5 linked regions of the Callithrix jacchus genome follow. Each later gene encodes a partner of the first gene's protein in a complex. Links are inferred from orthologs where the notes say so. Each region holds a gene or a part of one and is shown in the gene's direction. Other genes may lie near its edges.

Region 1 (4,156 bases):
TCCAGCCACTTGGCAGGCTGAGGCAGGAAAATTGCTTGAACCCGGACAATGGAGGTTGCGGTGAGCCGAGAGTGTGCCATTGCACTCCAGCCTGGGCGACAGAGTGAGACCCTGTGTGAAAAATAAATAACGCCCAGCTAATTTTTGCATTTTTAGTAGAGATGAGGTTAAAAATAAAAAAATAAATAAATAAAAAGAAAAGCACAACATGCATTGCATTAAACTGGCTCGTGGAGGTGGAGGTGGAAATGGGGTTGGAGGTAGGAACATTCCTCAGCGGGACTGGTGACTTCAGATAAAGGAGCCTCAGTTTCTCCAATCTTGGAGACTAGAAAACGGAAGAAATGGCCGGGCGCGGTGGCTGACGCCTGTAATCCCAGCACTCTGGGAGGCCGAGGCGGGTGGATCACGAGGTCAAGAGATCGAGACCATCCTGGTCAACATGGTGAAACCCCGTCTCTACTAAAAATACAAAAAATTAGCTGGGCATGGTGGCGCGTGCCTGTAATCCCAGCTACTCGGGAGGCTGAGGCAGGAGAATTGCCTGAACCCGGGAGGCGGAGGTTGCGGTGAGCCGAGATCGCGCCATTGCACTCCAGCCTGGGTAACAAGAGCGAAACTCCCGTCTCAAAAAAAAAAAAAATTTAAATTAAATTAAAAAAACATAAAATCAAAACCATAGTGTTCTCCTGTGTATGCAGCAGGCGCTCAATATGTGCTCCTGCGGAGCGTTTACTTACTTATTTACGGTAGCTCGAGGGCCACAGGGGCAGGTGGCGGGGCGCCACAACTAAGTGGGGACGGCCAGATTGTTCTCCAGTCGCCGACCTTAGTGGTGCAACAGGAAACGAAAAGGGGAAGGCGATGGCGTCACCGCACCAGTGACGTCATTGCAGGATGGCGGAAGGGAGGGGCCCTGTGACGTCATTGCGGGCTCGCGGAAGGGAGGGGCCCTGTGACGTCATTGCGGGCTCGCGGAAGGGAAGCAAAAATATGGAACGCTTCACGAATTTGCGTGTCATCCTTGCGCAGGGGCCATGCTAATCTTCTCTGTATCGTTCCAATTTTAGTATATGTGCTGCCGAAGCGAGCACGATTGAGCTGCCGCACCGGGACCTATTTATAGCCTCTATAGTCAACTCCTCTACACATAGGGTGACTTTTGTTAAATGCTATAGACGCCCAACCTGTATTTCCGTGGTCTGACGTGTAATCCAACCAACGCAGTTATTAACTGGAGCTGGGAAAGTGCTTATTCCACCAAATATAGTTACGGTGGCTTTTGGGAATCACTGGAAATGCTCGCATGCAAATATACCCGGAAGCGGGGCGGAGCCTAGGCCGCGCCGCCGTCCCAGAAGTCTTTGGGAGGCGGCGGCGCGGGCCAGGCAACTCGTTGGTCCCAGGGAAGATGGCGGCGCCGGAGCCGAGGCATTAGGGAAATTTCGCGCCGCGGACGCCCGCTGGTCTTGGCGCACCGGCCGGCCAGGTGAGCGCGGGGCTGCGGGGGCCGGCCGGGGGCGGGACGGATTCCCGGTGGCGTCTGCTGCCCCAGGGAACGCGGCGCGGCGGAGGCGGGGCCTGCAGGGTTAGGGGGCGTGTCCGGAAGCAAAGGCTGCTGGGTAGGCGGCTTTCGGCCCCAGGGTCTGCAGCTTGCGGCGGAAACTCCGAAGCAGCCGGAGGCCCGCGGGGCGGGGCGGGGCTAGGGGCGGGGTCTGAAGGGAGTTTTGGGCGGGGCTGAAGGCGCTTGGTGGGACTTAGGGGGCGGGGCTTGTGGGTTTGGGGGCCCCGGCATGGAGCCTGGGAACTGGATAGCTATATGGATGAAACCTGGAGAGTTGGGTTCCCTGGGGTGGACCGTGGAGATTGGAGGTCATAGGGGCGGAGCCTGTAGACGCCATGGGGTCCCTGGGATGAAGCCTGCTGTTTGGGGGCAATAGGGAAAGGGCCTGGAGACTACATGGGGTTCCTGGAGGGGAACCTGGGGACTGGGGAGTTTTAGGGGTGGGGCCTGGAGAGCCAAGGCTGTCGGAGGCTGGACCTGGGGAGGTCAGCCAACATGGGACCCCTAGGGTGAAGCCTGAGAATTTAGGCTGAGGCCATGGGCCCCAGGGGTGGTTTGAAGTGGGGGAAGCAAGAGGTGTCAGGGGCTGACTTTAAGGGGTGTCTGGCGGAGCCCTGGGGGTCTGGGGCAGACCCTGAAGTAGGCAGCCCCGGATAGGGTTTGAGGAAAACCGCCTGGTGGTCCTTCCAGCCTCACTGGGTTTTTGCCTTTGTGAAGCAGAAACAGTCTGTCCAGATGCTGGGCGCTTAGAAAGCCCGAAGGAAACAGGGCCGGGCGCCTGTAATCCCAGCACTCTGGGAGGCCGAGGCGGGTGGATCACGAGGTCAAGAGATCGAGACCATCCCGGTCAACGTGGTGAAACCCCGTCTCTACTAAAGATACAAAAATTAGCTGGGCATGGTGGCGCGTGCCTGTGATCCCAGCTACTCGGGAGGCTGAGGCAGGAGAATTGCTTGAACCCAGGAGGCGGAGGTTGCGGTGAGCCGAGATCGCGCCATTGCACTCCAGCCTGGGTAACAAGAGCGAGACTCCGTCTCAAAAAAAAGCAAGCCCCTAGGAAATGCTCCCTCTGTTGCCTGTCACACTCACCAAGCCCCTTCGCCCCAGAACGCCTGCCCGCCTTGGCCACAGGCAGCCCCACCATATGCCTGTTTGTAGGCCCTTCCTTCAAAAGAGACCCAGCGTCCTCCTGCTGCCGCCATCATCACTCACCTGGGCCAGTGCAGACCCTCCGCCGCTTCTTCGGCTGTGCCCTTGGCCCCCCCCCCCCGCCCCGATCTGTTACCCAGATAGCCAGAGGGGCCCTGGTGAAATCCAAGTAAGTCCCAGCCCTCCTGGGCTCCCACCCCGCTCAGGGTAAAAGCCCACAGGCCCTGACCTCTCCACACCCCCTTCAGCCCCAGCCCCGTGGGCTGCCGGGAACGCCCCAGGCTCTTTCTGGCCTCCGGGCCTTTGCACCTGCCGTTCCTTCGACTGCCTGCCTGTGGTTTTCCCGTATCCGGCCTGGCACTCCACGTGCCCTGGAAGCTCAGTCCACACAGACGACCAGCCAGACCTCCCTCCCGCAGGAGCTGGTGACTGCCCTCATGTGTGACTTGCGGCGGCCGGCAGCAGGTGGGATGATGGACTTGGCCTACGTCTGTGAGTGGGAGAAATGGTCCAAGAGCACGCACTGCCCGTCGGTGCCCCTGGCCTGCGCCTGGTCCTGCCGAAACCTCATCGCCTTCACCATGGACCTGCGCAGCGACGACCAGGGTGCGCCCCCTCCCGCCCACGTGGCGTCCCACCCTTTTCCCCAGGTACCCGGCACCCTGCCTTGCGGGGATCCAGTCTTGCAGGACACCCCTCACTCTCTAACGTGGGTGAGAGCCTCAGCCTCCTGGAGGTGCAGAGGGTGGATTCAGTGCTCCCCACACCTGGTGCCGGGAGACGTGAGGTCCCCACTCTGTGGGATCGAACGGGGCTGGGGTGGTGGTTGACGCAGGCATGTTAGGGACACCTGCCCCAGGTTTCCAGATGGTGTGGGTCACTGTTTGGTTTTTGAAAGGCACCTGGTGGCCGGGCGTGGTGGCTCATGCCTGTAATCCCAGCACTTTGGGAGGCCGAGGCGGGTGGATCACAAGGTCAAGAGATCGAGACCATCCTGGTCAACATGGTGAAACCCCGTCTCTACTAAAGATACAAAAATTAGCTGGGCACGGTGGCATGTGCCTGTAATCCCAGCTGCTCGGGAGGCTGAGGCAGGAGAATTGCCTGAACCCAGGAGGCGGAGGTTGCGGTGAGCCGAGATCGCACCATTGCACTCCTGCCTGGGTAATAAGAGCGAAACTCCGTCTCAAAAAAAAAAGAAAGGTACGTGGTGGCTGCACTCATTTTCTCTCTATTGCTCCAGTATATGCACCTGTAATATGTGCTCAATAGAGAAGATTAGAAAACCACAGGAAATTAGAATCAAACCAGGGTGAGAAAAGCCACCTTTCACCTTCTGTGGAGGAGCCTGCTTTCAAATTTTGGGTCATTTTCTTCTAGTCTGGTTTTAAAAACGTGGTCGTGGCGCATCACGGGCCTTTTCTGTTCCGGGGCGGCGGTGGG
Region 2 (3,500 bases), on another chromosome or scaffold:
TGAGGCCACAAACTAGGAAAAACAGCTAACCTTAGGGGTAGTAAGGTTTTTGTTTTGTTTTGTTTTTTTTAAAAGAAAGAGGCTAGAGATAAATTTGTTAATAAAAGACTACTAGTCTCTCGGGTACTCCATTAATACCTGTGGGATTGAATAGGAATTTATTACAAAATATGCAAGAAGGAAAATATAAAGCTTGACTATATTTCATAGACACTTATTAAATGCTTGCTGTGAGCCAGGCACACAGATTATTCAGAAGGTGATAATTAAGACCTGTAATCAGCACTGATCTTTCTTGTACTTTTTAAAGAGTAGCAATTTTGTGAATTGTATCTTGTACTTAGTACTGTGGATTCCTATGTAATTTTGATTGAAACTGTTAATATTAGAGAGGGATGTGCCCATCTGAAAATTTTCTAACCACCATTTTATTTGGATATTTATAAATTTATGTAGAATTTTAGAATTAGGATCTTAACGATGTTCAGTTCATCCTTCTGTGAGACTGAGCTCCAGGGTGGACAGATGAACTAGAGGTTAATGGTGAGTGGAACCAGAAAGAACCTAAGTCTCCTGACTCTAGTTGAGTAATTTTTCCCTACTGAATAATAAGATCTGAAGAGAATCTTTTTTACTCTTGGGTAGTAAACAAATTAGTTCAAACTATATAAACTTTTTAAAAGTTGTCATGGAACTAATGTGTACTACTTGCTTTAATAATGTAGCTTTTATAGAAATGGAAACCTAGCTTTCTCCTCCTATGATGTGGGAGGAATTGAGGATTAGAGGTCTAATAAACAAATACAATATACTTTTTACAGAAGAAGCTTTCGTTGTTATCTAAAATACTCTTAATATCTGGCAGTTTGCAGCTCAGTCTTTGTCTGTTGTATTAGGAGAATTCCTATAAAAATGAGAGGAACTTCATGTAAAAAGGAACTTGAAGAGGCATACCTGTATTTTTTAGTCTTTAACAAATGTTTTTAAAGAGTTTTAAAATTGATTTTGAATTTTGATAGCTATTTTATTTCTGAAGTATTATTCTCTACTTAGCACAGTAAAGTAAGGGTATTTAGGCCAGACTTGCATCTTAATTCTGTACTGGGATGGTGATCGTAATAACGAGCTTTTGTTGAACTCTTCACGTATGTACTTAAAATGCATTATATAATGAATCCTCACAATAGCTTTATGTAATATTATTATATACCTTTTCCTAATGAGAACACAGGCTCAAAGAGGCTGGTAACTTTCCCTATGTCACGCAGTTAGCAAATGGAGGACTAGAGAGATGAACTGCCAGATGTTCTATTTGATATGTTTTAGCCTTCATGAGTTTTTGCCATATCTGCATACCACCTATTTATTTGCTGTTTTTTGAAATAACTGTATTTTTAAGATCATCTTCATCATAGGCAGTACTGCGCATAAAATCACAGTTTCAATGTCTCAGTTACATTTATTCTAACATGTATTAGCACAAATGCGTAACTAAATGTTTTTTACGTTCTTGGTGCCACGTAAAATCATCTCAAGTGCCAAATTTTGGAAGAATCTTCATTATACTGTTTTTTTGTTTTGTTTTGTTGTAGAGGTGGAGTTTCACTCTTGTTTCCTAGGCTGGGGTGCAATGGCGAGATCTCGGCTCACCACAACCTCCGCCTCCTGGGTTCAAGCAATTCTCCTTCCTCAGCCTTCTGAGTAGCTGAGATTACAGGCATGTGCAAGCATGCCCGACTAATTTTGTATTTTTAGTAGAGATGGGGTTTCTCATGTTGGTCAGGCTGGTCTCAAACTATTGGCCTCAGGTGATTCGCCTGCCTCGGCCTCCCAAAGTGCTGGGATTATAGGTGTGAGCTACCGCACCTAGTCTATATTGTATTTTTAAAGATAAACCTTTTTTTTTTTTTAAGATGGAGTCTCACTCTGTTACCAGGCTGGACTTCAGTGGTGTGATTTTGGCTTACTGCAACCTCTACCTCCCAAGTTCCTTCAATTCTGGGATTATAGGTGCCCTGCCACCACACCCAACTAATTTTTGTATTTTTAGTAGAGATGGGGTTTCACCATACTGGCCAGGCTAGTCTCAAATTCCTGACCTCAAGTGATCCTCCTACTTCAGCCTCCCAAAGTACTGGGATTACAGGCAGGAGTCACTGTGCCCGGCCATAAGATTAAACTCTTAAATTTTATCTTCCCTAGGAAATCAGTAAACCTGATCATGCTGGCATATTGCTAGTTTTGAAAGACTAGTTTTATTTTATTTTGTATGAACAGCTGAAAAAGTAGAGAAGTTTGATATTAATGTTTCCCAAAATAATCATAGGTAGGCTATTTTTATTCTTAACAAGAATAAGGAATAATATTTTGAAAGTGTTGAAATTTTATAGTCTAGCCAATTCAGGTATGGATTCTTTGTTTTATTGGAATGCAGCCTTTCAGTATTCTGTTGTCTGATTTAATTGACTGTTATCTGACAGGTCCTAGAATTGTTAATTCACCGAGATGGGGAATTTCAAGAACTAATGAAATTGGCAGTTAATCAGGGAAAAATTCATCATGAAATGCAAGTTTTGGAAAAAGAAGTAGAGAAGAGAGACAGTGATATTCAGCAACTACAAAAACAGCTAAAGGAAGCAGAACAAATACTGGTAAGTTGACAAAGGTTGATTCTTAAGGTGAAACACGGTATTATTTAATCTATTTCTGAAAAATCTGTAATCAGTATTTTGAAGAGCAGAAAACTAGACTTTCCAGGTCTAAAAATGACATGTTGTCCATCTTGTCACTAACCATTGCCAGTGGTTAAATGAAAGGCTATTGTCACTCTCTTTTTTACTTACTGTTTTCAGATAGTCTGCATTACTTTTGAGCCACATTTCCATTACTTAAGGATTTTACAGTTTTGAATTATAGAAATGGAAAGTTTTACTTTTATCCTGGTTTAAGTTTTAATTATCAGTAGTCTAAATCTCTTTTTTTTTCTGGTCTCTGATCCTTAGGATAAAAATCAGGGAAATTTTTCATTTTTTATATATTTTGAAATCAGTAAAAATATATACACATTTTATAAAATGGTTAAAATTTACATTAATTTAGTCTTTCATCCTTATCTAGGTAGGATTTGGACCTGTATCAAGGATCCTAGTTTTTCCTTTGTTGTTTTGGCTACTATTTCAAAGAGGCAATTTATTTGCTATTATTTGTCCAGTTACTTAACTAAATGCTAACTAATATAATATGGTGGTTTTGCAGAAATAGCTGAGCTTGATTCTCATGTCAACCAGACATTGCTGGTATCCTTACCTCGGATGAATCTCTTAACAATTGTGTCAAAATGAGCTCTAGTAACTAGAAGCCTGCACAGTTCAGGATAAATTAATCACCCCCACTAAGAAAACAACTCACTAGTAAATAGTTTTTAAAAATACGTTAAAATCAGCCAAGCGCAGTGGTTCATGCCTATAATCCTCGCACTTTGGGAGGCCAAGGTGGGCAGA
Region 3 (2,322 bases), about 14 Mb from region 1:
CTTTTGTTTTTGAGATGGAGTCTCACTCTGTCACCAGGCTGGAGTGTAATGGCACGATCTTGGCTCACTGCAACCTCCACCTCCCGAGTTCAAGCGATTCTTCTGTCTCAGCCTCCCAAGTAGCTGAGACTACAGGCACGTGCCACCACACTTGGCTAATTTTTGTATTTTTAGTAGAAACGGGGTTTTACTATGTTGGCCAGGCTGGTGTCGAGCTCCTGACCTCATGATCTGCCTGCCTCAGCCTCCCAAACTGCTGGGATTACAGGTATGAGCTTCCACTCCTGGCCTATATATTGATCTTCTAAGCTTTGTGCATTTTATTCAATGAATTCTTCAGTGTCCCCTCTCCCACTCCCATCATATGGCAGAGTAGAGGTCGTCTTAACTATCAGGAGCAGCTCTGATTTAAGAGTCCTGGGTTTCAGCAGGTAGGTGGGTGGGTATGCACTGTGTAAGGGCTTGGGGCAGACCACACACCATGCACTAGAGGAGGTCGAACGGCAGGTGGGGATGAGCACTGGGTGCCAGGTTGGCCCAGGGAGCAGGTAGGAGACTACCTGGAGTGTGGGCTTCAGTGCTTCCAGCTCCTCTTGCTCTGGGGTTGGGGAGAGACCCAAGCAGCCTGGGGCTGGGTGTCTCAGCCTCCCAGGGGGAGAGGACAGGCACCTAACAAATGGCTTTTTATTTCCACAGATCCGGAACATGGTGGCGGTGCTGGAAGTCATCTCCAGCCTGGAGAAATACCCCATTACCAAAGAGGCACTTGAGGTGAGTATCCCACACCCCAGCATGGGGGAGGGCAGAACGGGGGGCAGGGGGCGGCTCCAAACCAGGTCCTTGGGAACATCAGTCTCTTTGCTTCAGAGGACCAAGAGAGGCAGTGTGCCGTCACAGCATGTGCCCCACGATCATGGTCTCCCATGGGCACTGCAGGGACGGAGTGATGTTAATCCCATCCTGCATGCCCACTTTGTGGGCACGTGGGGGACATCGGGAGAGGTGTGCTTGGGGAAGGCTCCAGTGAGTGGCACCATCCCCAGCCCTCCACTTGAAGCAGGCCCTCTGTGCTGTCACCTTGGCAACGGCACCCTCTCACCCAGAAAGCCTCTCTGGCAGTGTCCTTGCAGTGACCTGACGGGCCACAGCCCCCTGGCACCGGAAGCACTGCCAAGAAGCCACCTGTGACCCTTAAGGTCTGGGGACTGGGTTCAGAAAATATTGTCACAAAGGGCCAGAAATCCCCAGAGGTTGTGTCGGGGAGCTGGCAGTTTAGGGCTCAGTGCGAATGGGGTCATTTCAGAGTCAGGGCCACTTCCCACCATTTCTGGCTCAGCTTGTGGGGAAGCCCCTGTCTTGAAAGTATGTCATCATCTCTTTCTGGTTGTAGGAAACACGGCTTGGGAAGCTCATCAACGACGTCCGCAAGAAAACCAAGAACGAGGAGCTCGCCAAGCGGGCCAAGAAACTACTTCGGAGCTGGCAGAAGCTCATCGAGCCAGCACACCAGCATGAGGTGGCACTGCGGGGGCTGGCAGGGGCCACCGGCTCTGCTAACGGGGGCGCACACAACTGCCGGCCAGAGGTCGGGGCGGCCGGCCCGCCCAGGAGCATCCACGACCTGAAAAGCCGCAATGACCTCCAGAGGCTGCCTGGGCAGCGGCTGGACAGACTGGGCAGCCGCAAGCGCCGGGGTGACCAGCGTGACCTTGGCCACCCGGGGCCGCCACCCAAGGTCTCCAAAGCTACCCATGACCCCCTGGTCCCCAACTCATCCCCCCTCCCCACCAATGGGATCAGTGGGAGCCCAGAGAGTTTCCCCGGCTCCCTGGATGGCAGCGGGCATGCAGGCCCGGAGGGCAGCCGCCTGGAACGTGGTGAGAACGACAAGCACGGTGGCAAGATCCCCATCAATGCCGTGCGGCCACACACCAGCTCCCCAGGCCTGAGTAAACCCCCTGGGCCCTGCTTGCAGGCAAAGGCTTCAGTGCTGCAGCAGTTGGACAGGGTGGACGAGACTCCAGGGCCTCCCCACCCCAAGGGGCCCCCTCGCTGCTCTTTCAGTCCTCGGAACTCACGGCATGAGGGCTCCTTTGCCCGGCAGCAGAACTTGTATGTACCTAAGGGCTCCATGCCCAGCCCCTCACCACGGCCCCAGACACTTGATGCCACACAGGTGCCGTCACCGCTTCCACTGGCACAGCCGTCCACACCCCCTGTGCGGCGGCCTGAGCTGCTGTCCAGCTCGGAAAGCCCAGTACGCTGGCTTGAGCAGCCTGAGAGCCACCAACGGCTGGCAGGGCCAGGCTGCAAGGCTGGGCT
Region 4 (2,817 bases), on another chromosome or scaffold:
CACAGTGGTTCATGCCTATAATACCAGCACTTGGGGAAGCTGAGGCGGGCAGACCACTTGAGGTCAGGAGTTCGAGACCAGCCTGGCCAACATGGTGAAACCCTGTTTCTACTAAAAAAAAAATTAGCCAGGCATGTTGGCGCATGCATGTGATCCCAGCTACTTGGAAGGCTGAGGTGGGAGAAATGCTTAAACCTGGGAGGCGGAGGTTGCAGTGAGCCAAGATCGCACCTCTGTACTCCAGCCTGGTGACAGAGCAAACTCTATCACAATAACAAAAAAAATTCCTTCCTTTTAGGCAAGGTATCATACTCAGTATCATGAGGAAGAATAAAGATGTTGGTAACAAAAATTAGGCAGTGGTAGCTAGAAAAATCTCCTGGTTCTTGACAAGACCCTTAAGTCACTGGGTCATATTTGGCCCCGTTAGCATGGTTGTAGCTGAGCTGTGAGGTAGTGTTTTCCTGGCTATGCTATATAATTTGTCACTAGTACATTTTGTGAGAAGCACTCAGAACAGCATTTACCGTGAAGTAAGCATCATGTAAGTCAACTCTAATCTAAGGAGAGTGGAATGTCTCCTTCATTGGGTGAGCAGTTTCTGTCTCTGCCCTATTGGATTTTTGCCTATTTTTCCCCCTTTCCATTGGACCCTACCACTGTGTTGTATTTTTTCATATTTATGATTTATTTACTTCTGCTGTTTCTCTAAATTTTAAAATGTTCACCTAAAATATTCTTTAGGTTAATATATAGTCCTTCGCTCTCTGGGCCTACTTTGGGGACTGATTTTTTTTATTTTTATTCTGTGTTGTCTAGGTAGCACAGAGCTCACAGGCAGCACGAATCTGATCACACATTACAACTTGGAACAAGCCTATAATAAATTCTGTGGGAAGAAGGTGAAGGAGAAGCTTAGTAACTTCCTGCCTGACCTGCCAGGGATGATTGATCTGCCTGGTTCCCATGATAACAGCAGCCTCCGCTCCCTCATTGAGAAGCCCCCTATTCTCAGCAGCTCTTTTAATCCTATCACAGGGACCATGCTGGCCGGCTTCCGCCTCCACACTGGCCCGGTAAGTCCCCTTGGAAGGAGGAAGGCGAATGGGGAGGCCTAAACATGGAGATGGTTTTTCTGTCCCAGTCTGTTCCTTCATGATGGAGCAGAACAGATGATGGGAACAGGGGATTTCCTTCCTCTTCTCACCTGGACCTTCCTTTGGTTCCTTCAGTTGCCAGAGCAGTGTCGTCTGATGCATATTCAGCCTCCCAAGAAGAAGAATAAGCACAAGCACAAACAGAGCCGTACCCAGGATCCTGTACCCCCAGGTAAGAAGCAGTTCTACTCAAAGCTAAAAAAAAAACCCTGACCTTCTGAATCTGGTTTGACCTTCCATAGGTAAACCCAGTTAAGTTCATACGGAGCTCTGGACTCCTAAATTCCCCTGAAGAAGAAACCAGTGTACTGGGGTCTCTTGGGACTTATCACAGGGACTCTAGCAGCACTTCTGTATCCTTTCTGACCATTTGGACAAAAGCACTTGCCCCTGACTTGGGATTTTCCTGTCTGCAGTCTTCCCAACAGGAGAGGATTTTGAGCTCTACAGGTGATAGGTACCTAATGTCTCCTACAGAAACACCATCTGATTCGGATCACAAGAAGAAGAAAAAGAAAAAAGAAGAGGATCCTGAAAGGAAAAGGAAGAAGAAAGAGAAGAAGAAAAAGAAGGTAGAGTAGAGGCCTATTGCCACAACTCAGTGAGTTTCCCCATATCTCACCTCTGTCCTAAATAGAGTTCTTTGCCTCCAGATGGATCCAAGATTGAAAACCCAGGGCAGGTTGCAGGTTTCTCCTGTACAGCCTGATCAAAGCCAAGGCTAGTTCCTAGTTGTTCTTACCTCTCCTCCTTTCTCCCCCAGAACCGACATAGTCCAGACCACCCCGGTATGGGTAGTTCCCAGGCCAGCAGCAGCAGCAGCCTACGCTAACAGGACCACTGGACTCTTTGCCAGGATGGCCTTTCCTGCTATATTGAACCCGCTGACAAAAGCTGCCTTCCAGCCTCTTTGGACACTGCCTTGGGAGCATCCTGCAGCTGGGACAGAGGCCAGCTCTGTTGGGCTCAGTTGAGATTAAGTAATTATGAGAGAGAGAGGGACATGCTTTTGTAGGCTCATCCCTGTTGGCTTTCTCATGGATATCTCTTCCTCTTCCAGGAAGCTTACGATTTTCTTCTCTCTCTTTTGTGCAATTTGTCTGATTTAGGACTTGTGCGTTTTTTCTTAAAAAAAAAAAATTACATTTATCAAACTGGCTGAAGTGTGACTGCCTAAGAGGTATGTGGCTGTCTGAGTCAGGATTTAAGAAAAGGCTTTGCTAAGTCTTGAGGGGATCTGGGTCATGTCATTACATTATCTCACTAACAGGCAGGGAAACAATCAAAATGAAAAGTGAGCCAAGCTTACTAATACTCCACAGCAGACACATAACACTCCGCCCGTTATGTTGAGAACTAAGCACCTAGGTGATCACAGGCTCTATCTGAAGAGCTGATCCAGGTAGGGCTCAACAGTGTGTTCTAGGTCAATTTTGTGTTGAAACAGAAAAGCCAACCAAAAACACATGGACAGTCACCAGTGTATTTCAACAAGATTGGTTCCTAGATCAGAAGCCTGTGATATTTTGAAATGAACTTCTGGCAAGCAAAGGTAAATGCTTCTCTTCTCTTTACAAGAACTTTTGACCTGCTTCATTCCTTAGTTAAGACACTGAAGTTAAGGATCAAAGAGAGAGAGAAAAAAAAGACACTAAAGTTA
Region 5 (3,500 bases), on another chromosome or scaffold:
CTGTTTGTTTCAACTTTATCATATATTAGGGTTGGCCATTTGTATCAATACATGCCATAATTTATTTTATTAGTTCCCTGTTTTTGACTTTTTAGGCTGTTTTTCATTTATGGTAGCGTAAAGAACATCCCTTGTTGTATGTCAAGGGATGAAAATTTATGCAGAATACATTTTCAGAAATGGAGTTGCTTCCACTTAAATAAAAACAAATGCAAATACAAACTGCATATTACTAGAAGCATTCTGAGCCTTCTGCCTCTACTCAGGTTAAAATATCCATAGTATACAATTGTCCAGCTGTGAAATTGTTTCATAATCTTCTGAGCTGTTTTTCAGTTATCTTGAAAGCAGTGGATTAGTTTTTCACAGTTATCAGTAACCAGTTAAACGTGTGGTGATATTTTTTTTCTTGGCAGATCGTCCAGTGACTTACCTGTATAATACTCTGCACTATTATGAAATGCACCTGAGAGACCGCGCATTTCTCAAACGAAAACTCGTCCATGCTATCATCGGCTCTCTCAAGGATAATAGACCACAGGGCTGGTGTCTAAGTGACACTTACCTGAAGTGTGCTATGAATGCACGAGAGGAAAATCCATGGGTTCCAGATGACACCTACTATTGCAGATTGATTGGCAGACTAGTCGATAATATCCTTTCTACTCTGATTTTACAGACTCTCCAGAAATAACAGTATTTTGATTTATGAGAACGTATTTTTCTTTTTAAGGTAATTTTTTATATATTCCAAGGTTTTACTTTTTTTTTTAAGATCACTTCCCTTTTTATCTCTCTAAAGGTTTGAAATCTTAAATTAGCAGCATCATGCCAGATAGGCTGAAATTCTTTTAAAATTTATATTTTAGAACTTGAGGATAAGTGGTTAAAAATTATATTTAAAAATAGACTTTATGGAGATTTGTTTCAAAGAAAAAAATTTATTCTTAAATGAACTCTATTTTGTAGCACATGCATCTGTGTGCTACTGGAGAATGTAGCATCTTGTTACTTTAAAAAAGTATGTTTTTATTAAATAATAAACGATAAAACATTTTTCTTTTTTTAGTGAAAAGGGATATTTTAGTGAAAATATACTTGTATGTTTCTTCATTTTGATTTTATGTTTTCATTTATTAGCATCTATACTTCATACCACCATTTTACTATGTAGAGAAATTCTACGTAAATGAGTGTGACTTGTTTTCCTACATAAAGGAATTTATTTTCTGAAGCAAAAGAAGAGCTCATTATAAAATAATGTTCATATTAATGTCTTATAACTTTTAGAAGAAATAGGCTCATGAAGTCTAGGTATACCTTGATTGCATCTGTGGCTATTATACATCACATTTATAAGAACCCACCTGTAAGACCAACCATTTATACTTGTGGTTAATTAAATGATTGCTCTTAATACATTTCAATCATGTCAGTGTTATTGCTTTAACTGTGTGCACCAATGGCTGGCAAATCTCCTGGTCCCTTTCCAAACTGTGACTGGAGATTCAATGAGTTTCCCAACCCAGCTGCCCACGCTCTCCATGTTACATGTGTGGAGCTCATGGCCTTGGCAGTTTCAGGCAAAGAGGTCGGGAATGCCCTTCTAAATGTTGTCCTGAAAAGGTATGTATTCTGGTTCATGCAGTAAGATTTGTTGTTTATTTGTAAACAGAATGGTGTTTTATTTGGACCTTTAAGACAGACCTGTTGCCACAAGGCTGTTGAACATTGGATGATGACTGTTTTCTGGTTCCAGATCTTGTCTTTGTGATATAGGAGTTATGGAATGAGCCCTGGATAGGATCATTAAGATCTGGGTTTGTTCCTACTTCTACTCATTAATAGCAGTTTGACATTTAGTTTAGGATTAATGTTAACTTGTCACTTAAAACAAGATTCTCTTAATCTTGTTTTCAAGATTTCAAGAATCTCTTAAAAACTAGCACAAAATATTGGATAATGATTGGGGAAGAAGTATTTTTAAAGAGCCTTATTGAGTTTCTATGTATATTACATTTTTATTCAATAAAAAATTCCCCATTGTTTTATTGAAATTGATTAGTTTTCAATCCTCTGAATTATACATATTCTTTAAAACTAAGATCCATTGTCAACCATCTAAAATGTTTTTATAATTTCATACTTGTGTTCTTTTTTGCTGGTTGCAGTCAGCCTTTAGTGCCAAGAGAGAACATTACAGCATGGATGAATGCAATTGGTTTGATCATCACTGCCTTACCAGTGAGTTAATAATTGTGATTTGTACTTACTGATGAAATACAGCCCCTTGTTCCATGTCAGCAAAAAGAAAAAGATGCATATAGGATGCCCTGGTACAAGGACGTCAAACAAATTAATGAAGTATTTTATGTTTTTAAAGTTTTTCATATTATTACTGCTTTAAAAATTTACAGTGACTAGTTTTTGCCTTTCTGTATTAGATCTAAATACCTCTGCATAACTTACATGTCTCTGCATTTTCTGGTACCACCTTACCTATCCAACTTTAGTTTTTACATTATAACCTGATCTACTCTTGGCCACTTAATATGTTGTGTATCTACAGCCTTTGTTCTTGCAGATGGTACTTATTAAGACATGTTTTAGGTACTTCCGAATGTGAGTGAATAAGACATTATTTTTATTCCAGAACCTTCTTCTTTCCATCACCTTCTCTAAAGCCTATTTATTCTTTGCTAGCTTAGAGCCTCCTTTCTTAGTGAATGAAGCCTTACCTGACTTTTCCAGCCCACATGAAGACTCCCTTCTCTGACCTCCACACATATCTAAAAAAAAGTTTATTATTATAAAATAAGCAATAAAACTATTGATTTATTGTTTGGTAAGTTAATTGATTTACTGCATAGTATATATCAGGTACCTAAATGAGCTGGACAGATAAATGTATGGAGCCCCCTAACTCACAGGCACTTCTCCCAGGTTGTTACTGACTTAATTTGCCCAGTTACAAAGTCATCCAACAGATTTCCAGCAGAAGCTGGAAAAGTAGAAAACTTTAAAGACTGAGAAAACACTATTATTTTAGTCTTTGTGATAGAATGCTAGATAAGTGATTTTTTCACTAGCTTTCCTCCAATTTTAAAGGAGCCATACTGGATTGTTCTTCATGATCGAATTGTGAGTGTTATCAGCAGCCCCAGCTTGACATCTGAAACAGAGTGGGTTGGCTATCCATTCCGCCTCTTTGATTTCACTGCCTGTCATCAGTCCTACTCTGAGATGAGCTGTAGCTATACATTAGCTCTCGCACATGCTGTGTGGCACCATTCTAGCATTGGACAACTTTCTCTCATTCCAAAGTAAGTGTAATAATTTCTTAAAGAAATTTGACATATTTCATTTTTTTCAATCTCATTAACAGATGAGGTATATACCTCATTCATTAGAACAATTTGCAAAGTAAGTTCATCAGAAAGCTCCTTTTGCTTCAGAATTGTTTTCTGAAAAATTGACTTGTATATGCTAGTAATAATCTA

The links. The genes of interacting proteins can lie anywhere in the genome.
Region 2: MED16 (region 1) and MED4 share a complex: the UniProt entries of both Homo sapiens proteins name them as parts of the mediator complex. The link is inferred for Callithrix jacchus from reciprocal best matches to the Homo sapiens genes MED16 and MED4.
Region 3: MED16 (region 1) and MED26 share a complex: the UniProt entries of both Homo sapiens proteins name them as parts of the mediator complex. The link is inferred for Callithrix jacchus from reciprocal best matches to the Homo sapiens genes MED16 and MED26.
Region 4: MED16 (region 1) and MED19 share a complex: the UniProt entries of both Homo sapiens proteins name them as parts of the mediator complex. The link is inferred for Callithrix jacchus from reciprocal best matches to the Homo sapiens genes MED16 and MED19.
Region 5: MED16 (region 1) and MED23 share a complex: the UniProt entries of both Homo sapiens proteins name them as parts of the mediator complex. The link is inferred for Callithrix jacchus from reciprocal best matches to the Homo sapiens genes MED16 and MED23.

What each region holds. Positions count from the first base shown.
Region 1 is NC_133523.1:834,341-838,496, reverse strand, and holds the start of MED16 (mediator of RNA polymerase II transcription subunit 16), read left to right. Parts: upstream 1-1,356; 5' UTR 1,357-1,489; intron 1,490-2,722; 5' UTR 2,723-2,882; intron 2,883-3,132; 5' UTR 3,133-3,150; coding exon 3,151-3,319; coding exon of another isoform or gene 3,320-3,363; intron 3,364-4,156. UniProt on the Homo sapiens protein: Component of the Mediator complex, a coactivator involved in the regulated transcription of nearly all RNA polymerase II-dependent genes.
Region 2 is NC_133502.1:67,851,117-67,854,616, forward strand, and holds part of MED4 (mediator of RNA polymerase II transcription subunit 4), read left to right. Parts: intron 1-2,480; coding exon 2,481-2,651; intron 2,652-3,500. UniProt on the Homo sapiens protein: Component of the Mediator complex, a coactivator involved in the regulated transcription of nearly all RNA polymerase II-dependent genes.
Region 3 is NC_133523.1:15,193,626-15,195,947, reverse strand, and holds part of MED26 (mediator of RNA polymerase II transcription subunit 26), read left to right. Parts: intron 1-696; coding exon 697-771; intron 772-1,390; coding exon 1,391-2,322. UniProt on the Homo sapiens protein: Component of the Mediator complex, a coactivator involved in the regulated transcription of nearly all RNA polymerase II-dependent genes.
Region 4 is NC_133511.1:115,283,945-115,286,761, reverse strand, and holds the end of MED19 (mediator of RNA polymerase II transcription subunit 19), read left to right. Parts: intron 1-819; coding exon 820-1,076; intron 1,077-1,232; coding exon 1,233-1,329; intron 1,330-1,634; coding exon 1,635-1,729; intron 1,730-1,920; coding exon 1,921-1,989; 3' UTR 1,990-2,317; downstream 2,318-2,817. UniProt on the Homo sapiens protein: Component of the Mediator complex, a coactivator involved in the regulated transcription of nearly all RNA polymerase II-dependent genes.
Region 5 is NC_133505.1:138,232,474-138,235,973, reverse strand, and holds part of MED23 (mediator of RNA polymerase II transcription subunit 23), read left to right. Parts: intron 1-416; coding exon 417-653; intron 654-1,460; coding exon 1,461-1,626; intron 1,627-2,171; coding exon 2,172-2,244; intron 2,245-3,108; coding exon 3,109-3,323; intron 3,324-3,500. UniProt on the Homo sapiens protein: Required for transcriptional activation subsequent to the assembly of the pre-initiation complex. Component of the Mediator complex, a coactivator involved in the regulated transcription of nearly all RNA polymerase II-dependent genes.